Pelodiscus sinensis: one gene and its partners. The protein of the gene in region 3 purifies or fractionates together with the protein of the main gene of each other region. This does not show direct contact. Links are inferred from orthologs where the notes say so. Each region holds a gene or a part of one and is shown on either strand. Other genes may lie near its edges.

Evidence for each region.
Region 1: the proteins of KAT8 (region 3) and PHF20 purify together in Homo sapiens (affinity purification with mass spectrometry; 3 studies listed by BioGRID and IntAct, counting the BioPlex papers as one, with this or other methods). This does not show direct contact. The link is inferred for Pelodiscus sinensis from reciprocal best matches to the Homo sapiens genes KAT8 and PHF20.
Region 2: the proteins of KAT8 (region 3) and PHF20L1 purify together in Homo sapiens (affinity purification with mass spectrometry; 3 studies listed by BioGRID and IntAct, with this or other methods). This does not show direct contact. The link is inferred for Pelodiscus sinensis from reciprocal best matches to the Homo sapiens genes KAT8 and PHF20L1.

Annotation. Positions count from the first base shown.
Region 1 is NC_134728.1:32,241,030-32,248,942, reverse strand, and holds the start of PHF20 (PHD finger protein 20), read right to left. Parts: upstream 3,080-7,913; 5' UTR 2,924-3,079; intron 1-2,923. UniProt on the Homo sapiens protein: Methyllysine-binding protein, component of the MOF histone acetyltransferase protein complex.
Region 2 is NC_134712.1:13,904,791-13,912,544, forward strand, and holds the start of PHF20L1 (PHD finger protein 20-like protein 1), read right to left. Parts: upstream 3,095-7,754; 5' UTR 3,066-3,094; coding exon 2,801-3,065; intron 1,740-2,800; coding exon 1,625-1,739; intron 1-1,624.
Region 3 is NC_134714.1:131,608,177-131,615,925, reverse strand, and holds the start of KAT8 (histone acetyltransferase KAT8), read right to left. Parts: upstream 3,090-7,749; 5' UTR 3,075-3,089; coding exon 2,678-3,074; intron 1,014-2,677; coding exon 939-1,013; intron 502-938; coding exon 326-501; intron 130-325; coding exon 76-129; intron 1-75. Other genes in the region: uncharacterized protein LOC142829375, read right to left, coding at 7,271-7,749.

The DNA of each region.
Region 1 (7,913 bases), on a different chromosome or scaffold from region 3:
GGCTTATCGGTTAATCCAAACAACTACACTCAACTCTCCTCCCTTTCTCCCCCCTTACCATTGTATCTGCCTGTATGAGAGCCGGCAACCAGGGGGAAAACCAGCTTTAAGCTTGCTTCTTGCACTAGCCGGTTCCCGCGGAGGCCCCTGTTCCCCACCTCCCCGCTGCCTCCAGAGCAGCCCCAGTCTGTGGGGAGCTTGGTTGTTCCACAGACAAGGGCTGCTGCCATCCCACACTACTGCCTCTTCATCAGAAGTAGCAGCGCAAGGTAGCAGAGAGCTCGGACCGCACTGGATGCCAGCCCCCCCCCCCCCCCCGGGACTATTTTAATAACCATGTAACTACTAAAAACTGTTGCAGCTATACAATTACTAAAATACACGGTATCTAACATCCCTACGTCAAATGCCCTTGCTTTATGTGAATATCACTTTACTAATAATTGGTAGGAAAAAATCTACATGAACGAAAACCAACAGAATCTGGCAACCCTGTGTGTAGAGAACGATAAACAAAATGTCTAGCAGGACACAGAACCCCAATGGGCAGCATGCTGCAAATGGCCCTTCAGGAAACAAGGCATGAAGAACAATAGAATTTCAGAGAATGGAGTGCAGGGAATGTCAACTTCACTTTCTACCATTTAGCTATTGTATTTAGCGAGCAATCAACACCTTAAAAAAAATAAAGATTTTTTTTAACATCCCTCTCAGATATCCCTTTAGTTTGGATAAGACTTGTAATTTCTATACGCCAATTCAAATTATTTTTCCAGAGCCACATAACATTTAATGCTACACATTAATTTGGGAGCATAGACATACTTTTCTATGTGGTTCTCAAAAGTCAGTTAACTGCCCAGAGTGAAACGAAGAAAAAAATAAGCAGATGCATCGCTTTCACATTGGCTGTGTCTAGACTGGCATGATTTTACGCAAATACTTTTAACGGAAAAGTTTTTCTGTTAAAAGTATTTGCGCAAGAGAGCATCTATACAGGCACGTGCCTTTGTGCAAAACATTTGCTTTTGCACAAAAGCATCCGTGCCAGTGTAGACGCTCTCTTGCGCAAGAAAGCTCTGATGGCCATTTTAGCCATTGGGCTTTCTTGCGCAATAAATTAACGTGGCTGTCTACACTGGCCCTCTTGCGCAAGAGGGCTTATTCCTGAGCAAGAGCATTGGAGTATTTGTGCAAGAACCACTGCTTTTGTACATTACAAATTCAGTGTTCTTGCGCAAATAGTCGCAGCCAGTGTAGACAGGCGGCAAGATTTTTGCACAAAATGATTCCAGTCTAAACGCAGCCATATAGTATTACCAATACAATTACATTCTAACCTAAACTACCTGTGTTTCTAGTAGGGATGTAATTGTGTAGTCAATTAACCAATAAACAAAAGATTATAGGTTAATGCCATATACTACATGGATTTCCCCCTCCTCCATCCCCACCAGTAAATTTTTAAGCAGGCTAGCCAGCAGCCAGGCTCAGTCCTTGCTTGCACCAGGTCTGGGACCTACCCCTGCTACAGCTCTGCATTTGAAGTGCATTAGGAGCCAGACAGGCAGCCCAGCTCAGTTCTGACTCACACTGGGTCCAGGAGCTCAGACCCTGTCCCCCACCCTCTCACAGGGATTGCTGCCACTCTGTGCTGCTACCTGTAGATCAGAGGCAGCAGTGCAGGGTAACAGGCAGCAGGTCCACCAGGGAAACTGGTTTTTAAACTGCCTCCCCTCATGAACCAGCTCCCACCTGGCACCCCACGCTGCTGCCTCGGATAAAGAGGCAGCAGCGCATAGTGGCCGAGGGCTTCTTGGGAGTAAGTCACATTGGCTGCTGGCCCTACCCCCAAGGACTACAGAATAGTCAAGTAACTGATAAGAATTCATGAGTTAATCGACTATTCAATTAACGGGTATTTGACATCCCTAGTTTCTAGTCTTTCTACAAGAGATTAAATTCTGCCAGATTTCCCAGTGAGTCTGTAAACCAACTTGCCTGATGAAACAATAGGAATGATTTGAATCCAAGTTCACTAGAAGTGAGAAACTCAGTGCAGACCCACTTTGCCCATTATTCTGACACGTGCAGTGTTACTTTCTGTTTCTGCTTTACTGCCTAACAAAAACGTCAACGTCTCCCCTTTGAGTGTAACTAAGTGCTTGTGTGCGCGACTCATTCTGAAACCCATATGGTTTTTACCAAAGCTAACGAAAGCAGCAGCCATTCACCAAGGTAGAAACAGAACCAAGTGTCAGGCCAGAGTTTTCCCCGGCCAGATTCCCTTCCCGGGACAAACAACGTTCCCTACGCTCGCTGCCGTTTTCTCGCGGAGACATGAGACCCCCCCCAGAGGCGCTTCCTGCTCCCCCAGGGCCTCCCCCCGCCGCGGTGTCTCGCCCAGGCGGAACGGAGCCCAGCGTCCCCTGCAGAGGCCGCGGGGCTCAGACACGCACGGCCCCGCGCCCGCTGCTCAGCCCGGTTACACAACCGCTCGGAGCCAGGCCGCACTGCCCGCCCGCTGCTCCCGGGCCGCGCGCGGCTCCATCCCGCCCGCAGCGAGCGGGCGCCCCGGGCCGGCCAGGCCAGACGCTGCAGCGGCTCCCGCCGCCCCGCGCTGCCCTCGGTTCCCGCCCGGCGCGCGCACCGGCGGCGGCCACGCGGGCTGAGGCGGCAGCGCCCGGGAGAGCCCCTCGCGCCGCCCGGCCCCGCCGATACTCACCTCCCCGCGCCGGGCCCCGCCCCGGGCCACAGCGGAGCCCCGCGAGCGCGTCCAGCCCGCGCCCGGGGCCTCCTCAGCCCATCCCCGCCCCTCCCCCCTTTGTGCGGCTGGGCGGACCCGTTCCGCGCGGGGCCCGGCCTCCTCGGGACGGGCCGCTGCGGGGCGGGGCCGGGCGCCCGGCCGCTGCCGGTGTCTTACCGAGGGATCGGCCGCGAAAGGGCGAGAAAGGAGCCAGTCACCGCCCGGCCCCACTCCCCGCGCGAGCCCCGCGCCACCGACCGAGCAGCGACACAAAATGGCCGCCGCGGCTGAGGCGCCGCCGCGAGGGAGGGGGCTGGCGCGGGCTCTCGGGGGAGGGGCGGGGCCAAGCGGAGGGGAGTGGGGCGGGGTAGAAACAGGGGTCCCCCCCCCCAGGGCGGGGCCTCGGAGGGGGCAGGTGAAGGGGCGGGGCCTCAACTGTGCGCCGGAAGGGGCGGGACGAGGCGGAACTTTCGCGGGTCTCCTTTCCCCTCCCCTTCCGGCACGTGTGAGGCAGGGCCCCGCCCTTCTCTGGGATGCAGGTGGCTAGCGAGGCAGCTGGCCGAGCTGGTACCATCCCCTGCTGCAAGCCTGACCCTGGCTTGCCACCCCCCCCCCCCCCAGGGATTGGCCGAAGAGCCCCTTGATCCTGAAGCAGCTGGGCCCAAGACATCAGCATTGCAGCACCCCACCCCGCAGGGCGTCTATGAGCTACAGCCCCGAAGTTCCCAACCCATCGACCCAACAGAATTCTTCCCCCCATCCTCCTCCTGTTTTTCCTGTTAGTGTTTCATCATGGAGGTGTTAGAGCACTGCAAATGGAGGAAAAGAGAAAGTGAGGAGAGACTGAAAGAAGGTGCGCAAAAACAGCTGTTCTTGGCAAAAACTTGCCCGGTATCTACACTGCACGCATGTTCTTGCACAAGTATATTTACAGTATAGCATTGTAAAACAGGGCATCTTCTGGAAGAGTTATTCTTCTCCCCAGGAGGGATAAGCCCTCCTGTACAAGAGCTCTTCCACAAGAGGGCAGTGTAGACAGGCAACATGAATTTCTCGCGCAAGAAGCCCCTATGGTTAAAATGGCCATCAGAGCTTTCTTGTGCAAGAGAGCATCCACACTGCCATGGATGCTCTTGCGCAAAAGCACATGCCAGTGTAGACGCGCTCTTGTGGAAGACTTTTTGAGCAAGAACTCTTCCGCAAAACAGTTCTTGTGCAAGAAGCTGCTAGTGTAGACATAGCCTGAGGGGGCCCATCACAAGAACTCAAATCTCCAACACAATACCATGCTGTAGTGAAGCTGAGTGACCTTCCATTGAGCTGGAGGATGAAGAGCCAACTTGGTGATTCCTAGTGGTCAGAGCTAAGCCAGGCTTGCCTCTCCCACCAGAACCCAAGGGATGAGAAAGACAGCCTAAAAGACAGAACCCTTGATGCAGTTGAGTCTGAGCCAAAGAAGGGAGTAGATGGCTTCCAGGCCTAGAAAAGAAGGGGAGAGAATAGGGCTACGTCTACATTGGCAAGATTTTGCGCAAATACTTTTAACGCAAGAGTTTTTGCGTTAAAGTATTTGCGCAAGAGCGCGTCTACACTGGCATGTGTTTTTGCGCAAGAGAAAAGCCATTTTAGCCAGCGGGCTTTCTTGCACAAGAAATTCATGTTGCCTGTCTACACTGGCCTCTTGCGCAAGAACACTTGTGCAAGAGGGCTTATTCCTGAGTGGGAGCATCATAGTTCTTGGGCAAGAAGCACTGATTTCTTACATTAGAATGTCAGCGTTGTTGCGCAAGAACTTGTAGCCAATGTAGACAGGTGGCAAGTTTTTGCGCAAAAGTGGCCACTTGTGCACAAAATCTTGCCAATGTAGACACAGCCTAGGGGTTTGCAGAGCCCTGGAGCTGAACCCACACTGCACCAAGCCCTGCCCCTGGAGGAGACTAGCCCAAGTGAGGAGTTGCCAAGTCTGCCATTTGCCACATATCCAAAGTGTGAAGTTGCACCCCCATATTTTTTATGGAACTATTCTTTTGAATATGAACAAGAACTCAGATAAGCTCTATGCAAACTGTGGCACCGTCACTGAAAAGCTTGCAATCTGCTGAATGTGTATATTCTACTGGCTGGACTTACTTGGCATTTCCCGGGAAACTGGAGGAACAAAATTTAGAAAAACAGAAATTGGTCCTGACAGCCTCCAACCACACTGCAGCTGCCAGTGCCTGACATCTGGCCAGTATGGTAGGGGGAGAGACTTTCAGGCAGTCCAGGGCTTTATAAAGCAGTGAGCAACCGACCAAATAGCTTGCAAACAGGTGAGTGCTAACAGCGAATTTAGAGAGGGAGTTCTCCAGGTAAAGGAGAAGCAGATACAGGACTCTTGAGGGGAGTGGTTGTCTGCAGTGTGTGTTGTGTTTGGGGCTTTCTTGCTGTGTGCTGAGCTTGTGTTTGTGAGCGAGGCTTTTTTTTTCTCCCTTCCCCTTTCCCCTCCCCCTCCCGGAGTGTGTGCTGTGACTGGCAGGTGGAAACTGTTGGCTTCTAATTAAAGTTTGAATTGTAGAAACCTCTGCTGATTGGCTGAGCCTTGGTAGGGGGAGGGACTTTCAGGCACTCCAGGGCTTTATAAAGCAGTGAGCAAGGAGCTTGTGAACAGGTGAGTGCTAACAGGGAGTTTAGAGAGGGAGTTGGGAAGGGGGCAAGGTTCTCTTGCCATTCTTTTAAATCCTTTTTCCAGGACAGCAGGTATGGATGGTGATGGGTCTGCTGTTGTTACCTGCACAGCGTGTGCAATGTTTGTCTTCCTCCTGGAAGAAAGAAGGGATTTCATCTGCAATAAGTGCAAGCTGGTCGCCATTTTGGAAGAAAAAATTAGAGGACTGGAGGCCCAAGTGTAGCCCCTACACTTGATCAGAGAGGATGAAGACTTCCTTTATAGAAGGCAGAGTTTAATCCTGAAAGCAAGGCAGGCGGAGGAGCCAGAGAGGGCAGCACAAGACCAGGAAGAGAACTGGTAGCATGTAACTTCTAGAAGGAGAAAAAGGCCAGCACAGGAATCCCCCAGTGCTATAGAGGTAAGTAATCGCTTTTAAGCTCTCTCCACAGGCTCTGCAGTGCTGAATGCTTTGGAAGGGACCTCACAAACAAGAAACCGGAAGGGAACACCATCTACTGGAAGGCATGGGATGTGTAGTCCTAGGGATGGGGGTTCCACAACCATCAACCCCAAAACAAGACAACAGGTGGTGGTGATCGGGGACTCCCTCCTAAGAGGGACTGAGCCATCCATCTGGCTCTCAAGAGGTGTGCTGCTTACCAGGAGCTTGAATTCAGGATGTGACTGAGAGGCTTACAAAACTGATCAAACCTTCAGATCGCTACTCCTTCCTCCTCCTCCACGTGGGAACTAATGATACAGCCAAGAATGAACTTGAGCAGGTTACTGCAGATTATGTAGCACTAGGAAGACGGATCAAAGAATTCGGAGCGCAAGTGGTGTTCTCATCCATCCTCCCTGTTGAAGGAAAAAGACTGGGCAGGGATCATCAAATTGAGGAAGTAAATGTCTGTTTGCACAGGTGGTGTCTCAGAGAGGGCTTTGGTTTCTTTAACCATGGGACTCTGTTCTGGGCACAAGGATTGTTAGGAAGAGATGGGATCCATCTCTTAACGAAAAGAGAAAGGAGCATCTTCACGGGCAGGCTTGCAAACCTAGTGAGGAGGGCTTTAAACTAGGTTTGTTGGGGGACGGTGACCAAAACCCTGAGGGGAGTGGGAAAGTCGGATACCGGGAAGATATGCAAAGAGGAACAAGCAAGAAAGGAGGACCCCTGATTCTAATGGAGAAGATAGGGTGATCAACTGGTTATCTGAGGTGTTTGTACACGAATGCGAGAAGCCTGTGAAACAAACAGGAAGGACTGGTGGCCCTGGCCCAGTCCAAGAAATATGATTTCATTGGGATAACAGAGAGTTGGTGGGATGACTCGCATGACTGGAGCGCTGTCATGGAAGAAAATACAGGACTATGTAGCACTTTAAAGTGCTACATAGTCCTGTATTTTGTTTCAGCTACACCAGACTAACACGGCTACATTTCTATCATTATTCTGTCATGGAAGGGTATAGACTGTTCAGGAAGAACAGGCAGGGGAGAAAAGGAGGAGGAGTTACACTGTATGTAAGAGAGCTCTATGATTGCTCAGAACTCCAGTATATGGAGGAAGGAAAACCTGTTGAGAGTCTATGCGTTAAGTTTAGAGGTGCAAACAACAGCAGTGATGTTGTGGTTGGTGTCTGCTACAGGCCACCGGATCAGGTGGATGAGGTAGCTGAGGCTTTCTTCAGACGACTGGGAGAAGCTTCCAGATCACAGGCCCTGGTTCTCGTGAGGGACTTTAATCACCCTGACATCTGTTCAGAGACCACTTTTTTCTAATTTTTTGGTAGGGAAGTAGGGGATAGGCATTCTGGGTCTGCAAATTCTCATCCAATAGCTGAGTATAGGGATGTGTCAATCAATGGGGCTGGCCCTACTGAATCTGAGAGATTTCAAGGAGACACCTCAAACTCTTCTACCATTTTTTTTTTATGAAACTATGAGTTAACCGGTATAGTCTCTCCTCTAGCACCACTCCCTGGACCAGCTGCCCCTCCCATGGGCTGCATCTCTCACCCCCCACAGGATCTTCCAGTATCAAATCCAGACCAGTGCCAATTTGAGGGATTTCCCCCCCCCTCGCCTTGGATTAATTTCTTACCCACCCAGCATCATCCAGTGCTGCCCCTTGGGCCAGTGCCCCTCAAGGGAGATCCCCCCCCCCCCACAGGCTTCGCTCTCACCTCTGGGTCCCCGATGTGCCTCCTTCCGGACATTTTTTCAAAGTGGCAGCTGAGCGGTAACACAAGCCCTGCCCCCTCCACCTAGAGCAAGCCTCAGCAGCAGCCATGGTTGGCCACCGGGCCCTGAGCCAATGGCAGTATTGAAGAGGGGCCTCCATATGCTTCCAGCAATGGCGGGGTAGCCGCTTCTCCCTGCACTGCCAAGCTCCATGCAGCCCCCGGGGAGAGGTGTCGGTCTCTCATCTCTTCCCTCCCACAATACCTTAAAACCTTCTCCTGGAAGAAAGGTTAGCCCATGGAAAGTTTGGTTGTGGTAGCTCTTATAGTGTCC
Region 2 (7,754 bases), on a different chromosome or scaffold from region 3:
TATCTATATAATTTAGCCTGTGGAACTCAATGGCATTTAGCAAGGATGGGGAATCCTTTCAGGGTCAGGGGCCACTAATGCACAGAAAAATCAGTCGGGGGCAGCACACACGAAAGAAGCAAAAAAATCCTCATTGACACGGCCCTTGACTAAGAAGGAGAATGACACTCCCCATATTCCCCTTGCACACCAGGGCCTAGGAAGGCCCAGGCTAGTAGATTTTGAATGCTCCAGCTCCATGGGAGGCAGCAGGAGGGGGGAGGCTGGAGTGCTAGCTTGGGCTCCCCAATGCTGGGGATTGGGGGGAGGAGTCCCAAGCCTCGGAGGCCAGATCCAGGCAAGCCAGGGGCAGCATCCGGCCCCAGGCTCTCCACCCCAGGATCCATTATTATTGAGAGCAACAAGATTAGACACTTTCTATCAGAAAGAATGAAAATGTGAAAGGGATACTGATCTACATGACTGATAGCATCCCCCACTTATTAACTGATAGATGTGAAGAATAAACATCTTCTGAAGCTGTGAGCAATAACCAATGTTGGAGACAGAAGACAAGACAAGACAGACTATAGGTCTGATCCATTATAGCAACATTTCCTTCAAACTGATTACTGAGACCGTACTTCCAAACCAGGTTGCATTACTAAAATTGGATTGTCTGATTTTACTCCAAGTAAACAGTTACTGGAAGACTAAACCCTAATCTACACTACAGAATTACTTTGGTATGACTGCATTGCTCAGGGAGTGTGAATAATCCACATCCCTGAGCAACATCATTATACCAACCTAAGCACTGGTGTAGCTACCACTGTCAATGAGAACTTCTCCAGCGGATATAATAATTCACCTCTGCAAGAAGCAGTGATTAAGCCAACAGGAGAAAATCTCTCCCACTAGCTTAGAGCATCATCATAATAGCACTAAAGTAATCGATACAGCATTTTAAATAAGTGTTAAACAGTGTCCATATTAGTGTTGCTGACTTGCCCTTCCAATCTATCTTACTTCAAATCCTAGCTCTAACACAATTGGTGTGTGACCTGGCCAAGTCACAAGATTGGTGCTTCCATTTCCCCGCTCCCACGCGCACTGTTAAACGTACTTACCTTACAATAAGAATTAATTGTAATGCGTGGAAACTTTTATTAATGAATACTATATCAAGTTCTCAAATTTGTGAAATCTCCTTACACCTTAAAACAAAACTGGATCCTTGAGTTATTACTTCAGTTACACAAGAATACACTTAACCATCTAGCATGTGACTCTGTATGCCAGAGTATTCTGAATAAGTTTTTCATTTAATATCATAGTTAACAAATATTTTAGCAGACAGACTGTTATAATAAACACATACCAGTGCCAAAGAGAATAATCTAACATCTGGAAATGCCAGATTAAAATATTAGTTTCTTTCATGACTTTCAATTTAATGTTTGGCGAGATGATTTCCTAACATTCTATAATCACTTCAGTTGATGTTTTAAAAATAAGACTATTCACCAAATTAGTATATGGACTGAATTAAGATATGTTATTTTTTAATACAAACCCCCAAAAAATGAAGCTTCAGATGGCTCATGGTATTTTTGCCTAATTAAGCATCGTATGTCTTCCTTACCATTTTTGTAAGTAGTCCAGTGCTTCCAAACGAGCACCAATCTCGAACGTGATCCCTGGACGACTTGGAGGCTTTTTACTCATCCTGGTAACTTCTATTTCCTTTATCCCCCTATCTTTGGAGAAAAATGTTTTTATATTACAAAGCAGAAAGCACTGTTGTTTAAAAGTACAATTAGCATTCCAAAAGTATATATTTTACCCACACGAAGAGAGATCTATAATAAATAATAGCACTTATCACTGGAAGATCTAATAATGCACTAAAATTGGAAATGTTTAGATCGTTGTGCTTATTTCCCCCCTCCCCCACACACACCCACAAACAAGTACACCATCAATCTGCAATCGTTTACTTTAAAAAAGAAATGAAAATTTGCTCTAATAATATATTTGGCCATAATTCATGATCAGTTCTAGTAATTTCATAATCACACTTCCCTAAGTTCCCCCTGCCCAGTTACTGCATGAAAAGTCATACAATCAAGAGGGGAAAGGGACAGTCTATACAGAGGAAAGAATGACCACTACAGAAGCGTACTAAGCAACCACAATAAAAAGGCAATACATAAAAAATATTGATTTCCCTACAATCTCTATAAAAAAATATTGCATTGTATGTGCTTCCAGGGTAGCTAAGAACATTTCATCCAAAAGCACAAGTTATTTTAATTTGACAAGGTAAGATCTTCCTCCCAAGGGCTTAGGCTGGTCTGTTTTGTGAGTAACATCCAAGCCCTGTTCTGGTCCGTGTGCGAGGTGGGAGGGAGAGTCTCAAGAGGGGGGCCACTCTCTTTATGTGGACTGAGGGAGGAATGCGAGGGAAGCCACCAGCCCTGCTCTGTTGTGTCTGGGTGGTGGGAGGGTGAGGAAGATCGCCCAGCCCTGGGCCCCTAGGACTGTCTGGGCTGGCGGGGGGGACACAGGGGAGGCCCAAGCCCTGGACCGCTCCATGTCTCTGGGGAGGAGAAGGGGAGCCCGGAGTCCCTGGCGGAGGCGGGGAGGAGCCCCCAGGCATCAGCCACTTGGGGGGCAAGGGGAGGTTTGAAATCGCAGGCCCGGTGGAGGAAGCCTCCGCGCAGGGGCAGGGGGGCGGGGCGCACCCGGGGCCCCGGGGGGGGGGGGGGGAAGAGAGGCCCGGGGCCGGCTCGAGCCCCCTGCACCCCGCTCTGCTTACCGCCTTCTCCGCCTCCCACGGCAGCCGCTGGGCCTGGCGCCCGATCCCGGCCCGGCGCCCGAGCCGCAAGCCCAGCCGGCTCCGCAGGCCGCGGCGCCTCCCGCTCCGACCGGGCCCGGGGGGTGAGCAGCTCGCTGCGGGGTGCGCCTCCCTCACAGCCCCATCGTCGCCCTCTCCCAGCGCCGCGCCCCGCCCCTCGCGCCCCAGCGCCCAGCCGATGCGTCACCTCCCTGCGACCAGCCGAGTCGGAGCCGGGCGCCTCCATCGGACCCCTCACGTGACCGGGGAGCTGCCGCGCCGCGTGACATCCGCTTTGCGGCGGGGGGGCGGAGCACCGGAAGTGGAATCCTGGGAAGGGAGGGGGCGGGTTTGGTGTTTGGGAGGGAGTTATGGGAATAAGAGGGGTGGGCGGGGCAGGGGTGTAATGCGGCTGTGGGGGGTGCTGGGAACGGGGAGGGCAGGGGTGTCATGCGGCTGTGGGGGGTGCTGGGAATGGGGAGGGCGGGGGTGTCGTGCGGCTGTGGGGGTGCTGGGAATGGGGAGGGCAGGGGTGTCGTGCGGCTGTGGGGGGTGCTGGGAACGGGGAGGGCAGGGGTGTCGTGCGGCAGGGGGGGTGCTGGGAACGGGGAGGGCAGCGGTGTCGTGCGGCTGTGGGGGGTGCTGGGAACGGGGAGGGCAGGGGTGTCGTGCGGCTGTGGGGGGTGCTGGGAACGGGGAGGGCAGGGGTGTCGTGCGGCTGTGGGGGGTGCTGGGAACGGGGAGGGCAGGGGTGTCGTGCGGCTGTGGGGGGTGCTGGGAACGGGGAGGGCAGGGGTGTCGTGCGGCTGTGGGGGGTGCTGGGAACGGGGAGGGCAGCGGTGTCGTGCGGCTGTGGGGGGTGCTGGGAATGGGGAGGGCAGGGGTGTCGTGCGGCTGTGGGGGGTGCTGGGAATGGGGAGGGCAGGGGTGTCGTGCGGCTGTGGGGGGTGCTGGGAACGGGGAGGGCAGCGGTGTCGTGCGGCTGTGGGGGGTGCTGGGAACGGGGAGGGCAGCGGTGTCGTGCGGCTGGGGGGGGTGCTGGGAACGGGGAGGGCAGGGGTGTCGTGCGGCTGGGGGGGGTGCTGGGAACGGGGAGGGCAGGGGTGTCGTGCGGCTGTGGGGGGTGCTGGGAACGGGGAGGGCAGGGGTGTAGTGCGGCTGCGGGGGGTGCTGGGAACGGGGAGGGCAGGGGTGTCGTGCGGCTGTGGGGGGTGCTGGGAACGGGGAGGGCAGGGGTGTCGTGCGGCTGCGGGGGGTGCTGGGAACGGGGAGGGCAGCGGTGTCGTGCGGCTGTGGGGGGTGCTGGGAACGGGGAGGGCAGCGGTGTCGTGCGGCTGTGGGGGGTGCTGGGAACGGGGAGGGCAGCGGTGTCGTGCGGCTGTGGGGGGTGCTGGGAACGGGGAGGGCAGCGGTGTCGTGCGGCTGTGGGGGGTTCTGGGAACGGGGAGGGCAGGGGTGTCGTGCGGCTGTGGGGGGTGCTGGGAACGGGGAGGGCAGGGGTGTCGTGCGGCTGTGGGGGGTGCTGGGAACGGGGAGGGCAGGGGTGTCGTGCGGCTGGGGGGGGTGCTGGGAACGGGGAGGGCAGCGGTGTCGTGCGGCTGGGGGGGGTGCTGGGAACGGGGAGGGCAGCGGTGTCGTGCGGCTGCGGGGGGTGCTGGGAATGGGGAGGGCGGGGGTGTCGTGCGGCTGTGGGGGGTGCTGGGAACGGGGAGGGCGGGGGTGTCGTGCGGAAGTTGGGGGTGCTGGGAATGGGGAGGGCAGGGGTGTCGTGCGGCAGTGGGGGTTCTGGGTCAGTGCTGTGGGGAGGGGGTGGTTTGGAGTATAAATTAATGGGGGATGAGGTAAGTGTTATGGTGAGAAGTGTGTGGGGTATAAGTGGTAAGGGGATGAGGGTCATTATTTTGGAGGTGGAAAAAGATTGAGGTATGTTAGGGGATGAGGGCTTGTGTTATGGGGTGGGACTCATACAGTTACCTACATGCATCCAGCTCCCATCCAGAACACACCACGCGATCCATCGTCTATAGCCAAGCCCTTCGATACAACCGCATCTGCTCTAATCCCACTGACAGAGACCAGAAGCTGCAGGATCTCTACCAAGCATTTATAAATCTCAACTACCCACCCAGAGAAATAAAAAAGCAAATTGAAAGAGCCAGACGAATACCTAGAAACCATCTACTTCAAGACAGACCCAAGAAAACCAACAATAGAACACCACTTGTCATCACCTACAACCCCCAACTTAAACCTGTCCAACACATTATCAATAAACTACAGCCTATATTGGAACAGGATACCATACTCAAAGAGGCTCTGGGAGACAGACCCATAGTCTCCTATAGACAACCACCTAACCTCAAGATGATTCTTACCAACCACCACAGGACATACCACACTAATACCAACCCTGGTATCTTCCCTTGCAACAAACCCCGTTGCCAGCTTTGTCCACATATTCATTCTGCTGATACCATTATTGGACCTAACCAAGTGAGTTATAAGATCAAGAACACATATTCCTGCGCATCCAGAAATATAATCTATGCTATCATGTGCCGAAAGTGTCCGTCTGCTATGTACATTGGACAAACATCTCAGACACTTCGCCAAAGGATTAATGCCCACAAAACAGATATCAGACAAGATCACAAAGAGAAAACAGTTTCTTGCCATTTTAACCAGAAAGGACAATCTCTCTGACTTGACCACCTGCATTCTGCTACAAAGACCTTTTACATCTGCACTTGAAAGGGAATCCTCTGAACTGTCATTCATGTTAAAATTCGACACTTGCCAACAAGGACTTAACAAACATTTGAACTATCTCACCCATTACCAAGACAGTTTCCCCAATTATCACCTCTAATACCATTAACTCACAAACATCCCACTCTCCCCACCTCTAATATCATCAATTCACAGACACCTTCCTTCCTCTCCCCCCCCCCCCCCCGCATCCTCCTCCTGTTCTGCAATGTGATTTGTCCTTTTCATATTTGTTCATTTTTTTTAATTGTATCCTTTGGTATATATGGTTGTGACTACTTTCTTCCACTATTTGATCTGAGGAAGTGGGTCTGGCCCACGAAAGCTCATCATCTAATAAACCATCTTGTTAGTCTTTAAAGTGCTACATTGTCCTGCATTTTGCTTCAACTACCCCAGACTAACACGGCTACATTTCTATCACTATAATTAGAGGGGTGAGAGTTAGTTGGTGAGGCGGTAGGAAGAGGTAAGGGCTGGAATGAGGAGGGTTGTGGTGTAAGACTGCAATGTCTGTGGGGTTATGATGCAATGAGAAGAGAAAGGGATGGGGATAAGTTTATGGTTTAATATTGGTAGGGGATGGGGATAAGTTTATGGTTTAATATTGGTAGACAATAAAGGGTTGAATTTGTTTCCTGGCTCATGGTAAATTTTTATAGCGGGTTTATAGTGGTGGATGACAGTTAGTAATCCATGGAGTTTTCTGGATGCTGAAGCCATATGAAGAAAAGATGTAAGAGCTTCTGAGTGCTGCTGTCATCTCCTTGGAAATAGCAGCAGGAGAAAGCATAATGTTTTTCATGCGACACTTTCATTAAGATTTTCACAAAGCATGGGCTAAGGCAGTGGTTCTCAAACTTTTTGGCCTGTGGCCCATCTGGCTCAATGCAAACCTTTCTGAGGACCACCAGTTGCTAATAGAAACTCACCATTAATTACATAATTATGCCTGTTTTGCTAGTGCTGCAGCTAGGGAGAATGGTTTAATTTAACTGGTAGGAAAGGAAGTACTACTTTAAATTATTAAACAGATTAAGCACTTTAACTTTCTCATGTTAGTTTATCAAATGTCTTTTTAAATAAAGTTAAATATTATGTCCAACAGAAAAGGTTTCAATATTATCTTTATTTATGGTGTGTGGGAGGAACCTTTTCTTATGCTAGGGGGCCACCCACCCATAGAAAAATCAGTTCGGGGGGCACACAAATGAGAAATAAAAGATCCCCAATCCTCACAGATGTGGTTTCCATCGGAGAAACCTCACTTCTCTGGTATTCCAGACCTGTGGTGGAGAGAGCTCAGGGAGGACTGAGGTCCAATACCTCAGGCCAAATTTACTCTTCTGGGCTATGTCTACACTCGCGGCTTCTTGCGCAAGTATAGCCATTCTTGCGCAGGAATCTTCAGAGTGTCCACACTGCCTGCCGGCTTTTGCGCAAGGAAATTTACAGTACGGCGTGGTAAGAGGGCTTCCTACGCAAGAGCTATGCTCTTTTTTTTAAAAAAAAAAGGGTTAAGCCCTCTTGCGCAGGAGCTCTTGTGCGAGAGGGCAGTGTGGACGCTCAGCAGGGATTTCTTGCGCAAGAAACCCCTATGGCTAAAATGGCCATCAGAGTTTTCTTGCGAAAGAGACCGTCCACACAGCTCACGCATGGCAGTGTGGACGTTTTCTTGTGCAAGAATTCTTGCACAAGAACCCTTGCGCAAGAAGCCACCAGTGTAGACATAGCCCCTGGTGTTCCAGGGTTAGTGATTTTATGGAGCTGGGTCCAGTAGGGAGACTCAGGCTATGTCTACGCTCACGGCTTCTTGTGGCAGAAATATGCAAATGAGGCTAAGTGGAATATTGCCGAGCCTCATTTGCATACCTAATGAGATGCCATTTTGCAGAAAAGGCTCTTACGCCAGATGGAGCTGTCTACACTGCCCCTTCTTGCGCAAGAAAACCCCTCTTGCGCAATGCCGTTTTTCCTGAAAATAATCAGTGTAATGGCATTGCACAAGAGAGGTTTTCTTGTGCAAGGGGCAGTGTAGACAGCTCCTTCTGGTGCAAGAACCTCTTCTGCAAAAATGGTGGCTCATTAGGTATGCAAATGAGGCTCGGTGATATTCCACGCTTAGCCTCATTTGCATATTTTGACTGCAAGGAACTGCGACTGTAGA
Region 3 (7,749 bases):
TCCAGGTTAGCGATCAGAGCAAGGGCCCGGGGTCCCGCCCTTTTAGATGCCAGGCCAATGCCCTGGGCCACTCACCGCCTCATGCTCCTTCTCCAGGGCAGCTGTGGTGGGATCCATCTCTGCGTAGGTCTATGAGGAGACAACCCAGTATCAGGCAGCTGCCACACTGCATCACAGAGTTTAACTGAGGCCACACTGAACCTTCCACCCCAACCCCTACAGCATAGCGCCCCCTGGTGTCAGCACTGACTAGGAGGGAAGACTGCTCCCCTTTGAGCTCCCCAGCCCTGATCCAGGCAACATCCCTTCCCCCCAGTGCACTTGCCTTCTGAACATGGTTGATCTCGTCATGTTTGCGCTTCTGGTTGCGGGTGATCTTACGCTCGGGTTGCTCTGACAGCTCGTTCATGTACTGGTCTGTGTTCTTCTGCACTGCATCTTTGACTGTCTTGGTGAGGGCCAGCCGGTTCTTATCTACCCATTCATCCAGGCGCCGGTTGACTGTGGTTAAGATGGGGCAGTAAGGAACCTATCCAGCTTCTATCTGTAGAGTGACAGTCTCACCATGTCCCAAAACACTCAACACCTGGGCACTGGAACCAAATGGTCCTGATTTTAGCCCTCTAGAAATCACACCCCTGCCAAAGTCAGGTAGAGCAGACATATCCTTAGATCTCCAGTGCTATAGAAGGGCAAAGTCCTCTTTGCCCCTAGGAAATCCTGTAATGAGGAATTCTGCAGGGTAATTTCCCATAGATTTGTGGGGGTATGGGTGAGAGACTCATGGTAAAGGTGAAAATGAGGCAGTTATGAATATGAACTATGGGGAGGAAAGGAATTAACAATATCACACTCTTAGGTGCTTCCATAGTGAACTTAGTAAATAGTCACCCACATTAATCCCCCTCCACAGGAACAAAACCCAGGGCCGTACTCACATCCGACATAGTGCACATAGTATTCCTCCCGGGCCTCCTGCTCGTTGAGTCGTGACTGAATCACCTCGGCTGAGTCTGCAAGACAATCACCAGGTTAGTGCCAGCTTAGATGAGCAGAGGAAGTAAGAACGAGTGGGTTAGGTGCAATGTCTGCCCTGAAAAATGGTAGCCCTTTTACACTGAATGACAGACAAATGCTTTACTAAGGTAAACAATGAGAAGTCCTTTATGGACTAACAGATTTACTGGAGCACAAGCTTTCGTGGGCAAAGACCCACTTCGTCTCATGCATCTGACTAAGTGGGTCTTTGCCCTCCAAAGCTTATGCTCCAATAAATCTGTTTGTCTATAAGGTGCTACAGGACTTCTCGTTGTTTATGCAGATTCAGACTAACATGGCTACCCCTCTGATCCTTTACTAAGGACACATCCGTCTCAGGGGGAAAAGCCTTCTTAGTGCAGAATTAGAGCACCCACCCATAGAACTCACGTGGAATAACAGCTATGCTTTAGATTTACCCTCTGGTTTATTTTCCAATAGCTTCCCCATGAAATCTCAGAGATTTAGGACATATTTAAATTTCTCCTATTTCAGGCAGTTCTATAATGTCAGTTTACACTGGTGCAGTGAAAAAGAGTGGGAATGGGACGTATTGGGAGGGGGAAGCCTTTATGCCATGTCCTGTGGGCACATGGTTGGGAAAGTCTGAGGGCTAAGTGGCACTGGTGATCAGAGAGATCAGGACCTACTTTCACAAGAGGGGCAGGTCTCTCACCCCAGGACCCGTCTGTGCGGCAACACAGAGCTAGAGGATGAAGGGGGAGAGCTGGAAGCCCTGGGCTTATCCTGACTAAAGATGTTAAATTGCAGTTAATTGACTAGTTGATGGAGTTTCCATCAGCTCGTCGGTAGGCACCTGCTGGGGCTCTTGTACATTTCGAAGGAGGAATGTGGAACTCTGCAGGCAGCAGGAAGTCTTTGGGCTGCACTGGGACAGCTTTGAAATGTACAAGACTCTCCAGCAGGGGCTCTTGTGTATTTCAAAGCCACAGTGCCCTCATGGAGCCGAGGTCAGGACTAGCTGGGGAAGGGGGGGGGGTACGGGATGGAGGGATGGACGAGGACTCAGAGTCCCCTGCTGACCCCGGGGCTCCATGCTGGCGGCATGTCTGGCTCAGCTGTGCAGCGCTGCTGCTTTGAAATGCCCCTTCTCCCCCCCCCCCGCGTTGCTCTGATACAGCAAAGGGGGGGTGGGGGGGGGAGTCGACTAGTCCTGCACATTTCCAATCCCGACAGGGCTTCTCTGGGGCCGGGTCTCTCCCACAGGGGCTGGGGGCGGCGCAATGGGAGTGAGGGCAACAGGCGGGCCCAGAGGAGAGTGCGGGGGGGGGGGGGGGCCCTGGCGGCCCCAGGCACAGGCCAGAGACCGGGCTCAGGGCGGAGGGGAACCCGGGGGAGCAGGGCCCAAAGGGGTTAGCCGGGGGGGAGGGGTTAGGACGGGGGGTGGAGGGAGTCCCGGGGGGAGTCCCGGCGGGGGGGGGGGGAGTTCCGGGAGCGGTTCCGGGGGGGGAGTCCCGGCGGGGGGGGGGGGGGGGTGGGGCGGAGGGAGGGGTCCCGGGGGGGGTGGTGTCCCGGCGGGGGGGGGGGGTGTCCCGGGGGGTTTCCCGGCGGGGGGGAGGGGGTCCCGGCGGGGGGGGGAGTCCCGGGGGGGTCCGGCGGGGGGGGGGGGGGGACTCACGCCAGGTCCCGTCCGCGCGCCGGCACAGGTAGGTCTCCCCGATCTCCACGGTGACCTCGGCCTCGCGCGGCGGCCCCGGGCTCAGGGTCCGGGCCTCGCGCTCCTCCTCGCCGCCCGGCCCGGGGGGGGCTCCCGCCGCCCGGCTCGGCCGCCATGACAGGCCGGAAGCGCCTCGCGAAAACAAACCGCCGCCCGCCCGCGCGTGGCGGGCGCCCGGAGGTGACGTCACGCGCACCGCGTCACGTGCCCGCGGCAGCCGCGGGGCCAGGGTCTCGAAGGGAGGCGGCAGGACGGCACCCTCCCGGCATGCACCGCGCCCTGCGTCCCCAGCCTCCCGGCATGCACCGCGCCCTGCGTCCCCAGCCTCCCGGCATGCACCGCGCCCTGTTCCCTTCATGCTGCGCCCGGTACCCCAGTGTCCCCCCCCCACCCCAGCATGCACCGCGCCCCGTACCCCAGTGTCCCCCCCATCCCAGCATGCACCGCGCCCCGTACCCCAGTGTCCACCCCCAATCCCATCATGCACCGCGCCCCGTACCCCAGTGTCCCCCCCCCACCCCAGCATGCACCGCGCCCGGTACCCCAGTGTCCCCCCCCACCCCAGCATGCACCGCGCCCCGTACCCCAGTGTCCCCCCCCCACCCCAGCATGCACCGCGCCCCGTACCCCAGTGTCCCCCCCATCCCAGCATGCACCGCGCCCCGTACCCCAGTGTCCCCCCCCCATCCCAGCATGCACCGCGCCCCGTACCGCCAGTGTCCCCCCCCATCCCAGCATGCACCGCGCCCCGTACCCCAGTGTCCCCCCCCCATCCCAGCATGCACCGCGCCCCGTACCCCAGTGTCCCCCCCCATCCCAGCATGCACCGCGCCCCGTACCCCAGTGTCCCCCCCATCCCAGCATGCACCGCGCCCCGTACCCCCAGTGTCCCCCCCCATCCCAGCATGCACCGCGCCCCGTACCCCCAGTGTCCCCCCCATCCCAGCATGCACCGCGCCCCGTACCCCAGTGTCCCCCCCATCCCAGCATGCACCGCGCCCCGTACCCCAGTGTCCCCCCCCATCCCAGCATGCACCGCGCCCCGTACCCCAGTGTCCCCCCCCATCCCAGCATGCACCGCGCCCCGTACCCCAGTGTCCCCCCCCATCCCAGCATGCACCGCGCCCCGTACCCCAGTGTCCCCCCCCATCCCAGCATGCACCGCGCCCCGTACCCCCAGTGTCCCCCCCATCCCAGCATGCACCGCGCCCCGTACCCCCAGTGTCCCCCCCATCCCAGCATGCACCGCGCCCCGTACCCCAGTGTCCCCCCCATCCCGGCATGCACCGCGCCCCGTACCCCAGTGTCCCCCCCATCCCGGCATGCACCGCGCCCCGTACCCCCAGTGTCCCCCCCCATCCCGGCATGCACCGCGCCCCGTACCCCAGTGTCCACCCCCAATCCCGGCATGCACCGCGCCCCGTACCCCCAGTGTCCCCCCCAATCCCGGCATGCACCGCGCCCCGTACCCCCAGTGTCCCCCCCATCCCAGCATGCACCGTGCCCGGTACCCCAGTGTCCCCCCCCAATCCCAGCATGCACCGCGCCCCGTCCCCCAGTGTCCCCCCCAATCCCAGCATGCACCGCGCCCCGTCCCCCAGTGTCCCCCCCAATCCCAGCATGCACCGCGCCCGGTACCCCAGTGTCCCCCCCCCATCCCAGCATGCACCGCGCCCGGTACCCCAGTGTCCCCCCCCCATCCCAGCATGCACCGCGCCCCGTACCCCAGTGTCCCCCCCCATCCCAGCATGCACCGCGCCCCGTACCCCAGTGTCCCCCCCATCCCAGCATGCACCGCGCCCCGTACCCCCAGTGTCCCCCCCAATCCCAGCATGCACCGCGCCCCGTACCCCCAGTGTCCCCCCCAATCCCAGCATGCACCGCGCCCCGTACCCCCAGTGTCCCCCCCAATCCCAGCATGCACCGCGCCCCGTACCCCCAGTGTCCCCCCCAATCCCAGCATGCACCGCGCCCCGTACCCCCAGTGTCCCCCCATCCCAGCATGCACCGCGCCCGGTACCCCAGTGTCCCCCCCATCCCAGCATGCACCGCGCCCTGTACCCCAGTGTCCCCCCCATCCCAGCATGCACCGCGCCCTGTACCCCAGTGTCCCCCCATCCCAGCATGCACCGCGCCCTGTACCCTAGTGTCCCCCCCAATCCCAGCATGCACCGCGCCCCGTACCCCAGTGTCCCCCCCAATCCCAGCATGCACCGCGCCCCGTACCCCAGTGTCCCCCGCCATCCCAGCACGCACCGTGCCCCGTACCCCAGTGTCCACCGCCATCCCAGCACGCACCGTTCCCAGTACCCCAGTGTCCACCCCCATCCCAGCATGCACCGTTCCCAATACCCCAGTGTCCACCCCCATCCCAGCATGCACCGCGCCCCGTACCCCAGTGTCCACCCCCATCCCAGCATGCACCGTTCCCATTCCCCAGCGCCCTTTCCTGTCACCGCCACCCCTTGCACAGAACCCAGGAATCTGGCTCCCAGCCCCCCGGGAAAAGGGGCCAGGCATCCTGCCTACTCCCCCCCCCCCCTCTTTCCCCACCCGTGCACTCACCAGGTAATCAGACCGGGCACGGCAGGGGTGTTGAAACGGGTGTGATTTATTGGGGTTTTACGTCAAAGGAAACATCACCCGCGCGCCCGTACAGTCAGTCAACACAAGACAACCACAGACAGGGAGGAGCCATCCTAGGTTCCTTCCCCTTCCAAACATGACAACATCCAACGTGATTCCATCATAATGACTCAAGTATGAGCACAACATTGTTGCCTTCTCTCCATGGACCAGCCAACAGCATATGAGCATGACTAGTACTGACAGCTCAAGTTAATCTCTGATATTACTGTAAGCATTTTCTTTAGCCCTTTGATTTGAATTGCCAATAGCCCATGGGTGTAGTTTGGCTAATGACCAGAATATCTGTTTGGATTACATTTAAATTAAAAACCCCCCTAAAACCTGCTAAATTCACAAAACAGAATTAGGGTGATCTAAGGCTATCGCCCAGTATTACTAGAATATACAATACAATCCTTTACTACGTGACCACTCAACAATGGCCCATTTGAGCATAACACTTGGCCAAGCAACACTGGACAGCATGTAACACTAGGGATACGCATCTTTATCCACCACAGCCTCAGTTACAAGGAGGTAGTAATTTGAATCTCTGTCTACAGTCCCCAAATTATATCATAATTCATTCATGTAGTGTACTTAATGCCCTCTAGTGGCAGGTCTATTTACAGTATTAATACTTATACCATGCTTTTAAATATTAACTGAAAATACTCAGGTCAGTAGTGTTATCACCCTATTTAAGAGGGGGGAAAACAGAGTGAAGAAATTACTTGCCTGCTTATGGTCAGCAGCAGACACAGAAACAACCCAGGAGACCTGATTCTCAGTCCTTCCTGCTCTCACTAGACCACATTCCCCACCCCTAGAGGAGAATACCGGCCTCCAGTTCTCTTTTGGGCGCTTGTCTAGATGGGGACACTGACCAAAATTGATGTGGAACAAGTTCCCCATGTGGCCACTCTCCTCTGGGATAATTAGTGAGCTTATGAAACAGAGCACTTATGCAGGAATCAAATCCCTCTTCTCCCAGAAGAGAGAACCCACCCATGACTGCAGTAGCTTCTGTTTCCCAATGCAGATAAGCCCTCTCTCTTCTGCTGCAATGGATGGAACCTGCTACAATGACTTGGTGCGATGAGGTTAATACTGAGGTGGGGAGTTTAGATTTGAATTCTACCCACTCCTTCCTTCAACTACTTATAAATCTCCACCATAGCACCAGAGCAGAGCAGGGCTGGTATTGTTCCCAATACACAAACACAGAACTAGCATACACAAGGCGATATAACACAGTCAAAATTCCAAGAACACTGCCTTTGGTACTGTTCAGAGTCTACAGTCTGTTAGTCTCTAGAACGGAAGGGTTCTCAATTGCAGAAAGTTATTTCGAGTAGGCTTCACTTAAATTTAGTGTGGCAATAACTAACCAGTAGGCTCTCTGCTTGGGAGCTCTGATCCCAACAGGAGAGTACTGAACAGTTGTATATAACCAGCTGCCCTAGACAAGAGGGGCACCCCAGAGCAGTCTGGCTCTGGGAAAGGTTCAAACATACTAAAGTAGTATCTCTCAGGCTGGGAGCAACTTGCTGGGAACACAACTCCAGAGCGCTGACTCCTTTCACTAAGCCACTAGACCCCCCTCCCCAACCTCTCACTAGGAACCGAACCCCGGAGTCTCCACTGCCAGCCACCCTGTTCTATCTCGCTCCCCTCCTAGAGTTCAGGGTAGAACCTAGGACTCCAGACTGATACTCTGCCTCCTTACCAGATCCAGAAAGAAAACCTAGGAGTCCTGTCCCCCTTTGCTCTACCCACTAAATTCCACTCCCCTTCCAAAGCCATGGAGTCCTGATTGCCAGTCCCTACCCCCACCCTAACCACTAGATCCCACTCCCACAGCTGCAGGAAATCTAGTCGAGGAATTCCAGTGCTCCAATGCAGGAGGTTCAAGGAATTCCCGTCCTAAGTCAGGAGGACGTTAACCCCCCCCAGTGTCAGGACGGCCACCGGTTCCTCTCCTTGGTGCAGCTTCTGGTGGCGGGTGAATTGCTGCTTATAGCGGAAGCTCTTCCCACAGACGCTGCAGCCGTAGGGCTTCTCCCCAGTGTGGATGCGCCGGTGCTTGACCAGTTTGGAGTTGACGTAAAAGCCACGCCCGCAGTCGGGGCAGCGGAAGGGCTTCTCGCCGGTGTGGATGCGCTGGTGCTCGATGAGGGTGGAGCTCTGGCTGAAGCGCTTGCCGCACTCGGTGCACTCGTAGGGCCGCTCCCCGGTGTGGGTGCGGTGGTGGGACACCAGGTGGGTCTTCTTCTTGAAGCGCTTGCCGCACTCGCCGCAGGCGAAGGGCTTCTCCCCGGTGTGGGTGCGCTCGTGCTTGATGAGGTTGGAGCTGAGGCTGAAGCACTTGCCGCACTCCCGGCAGCCGTAGGGCTTCTCGCCCG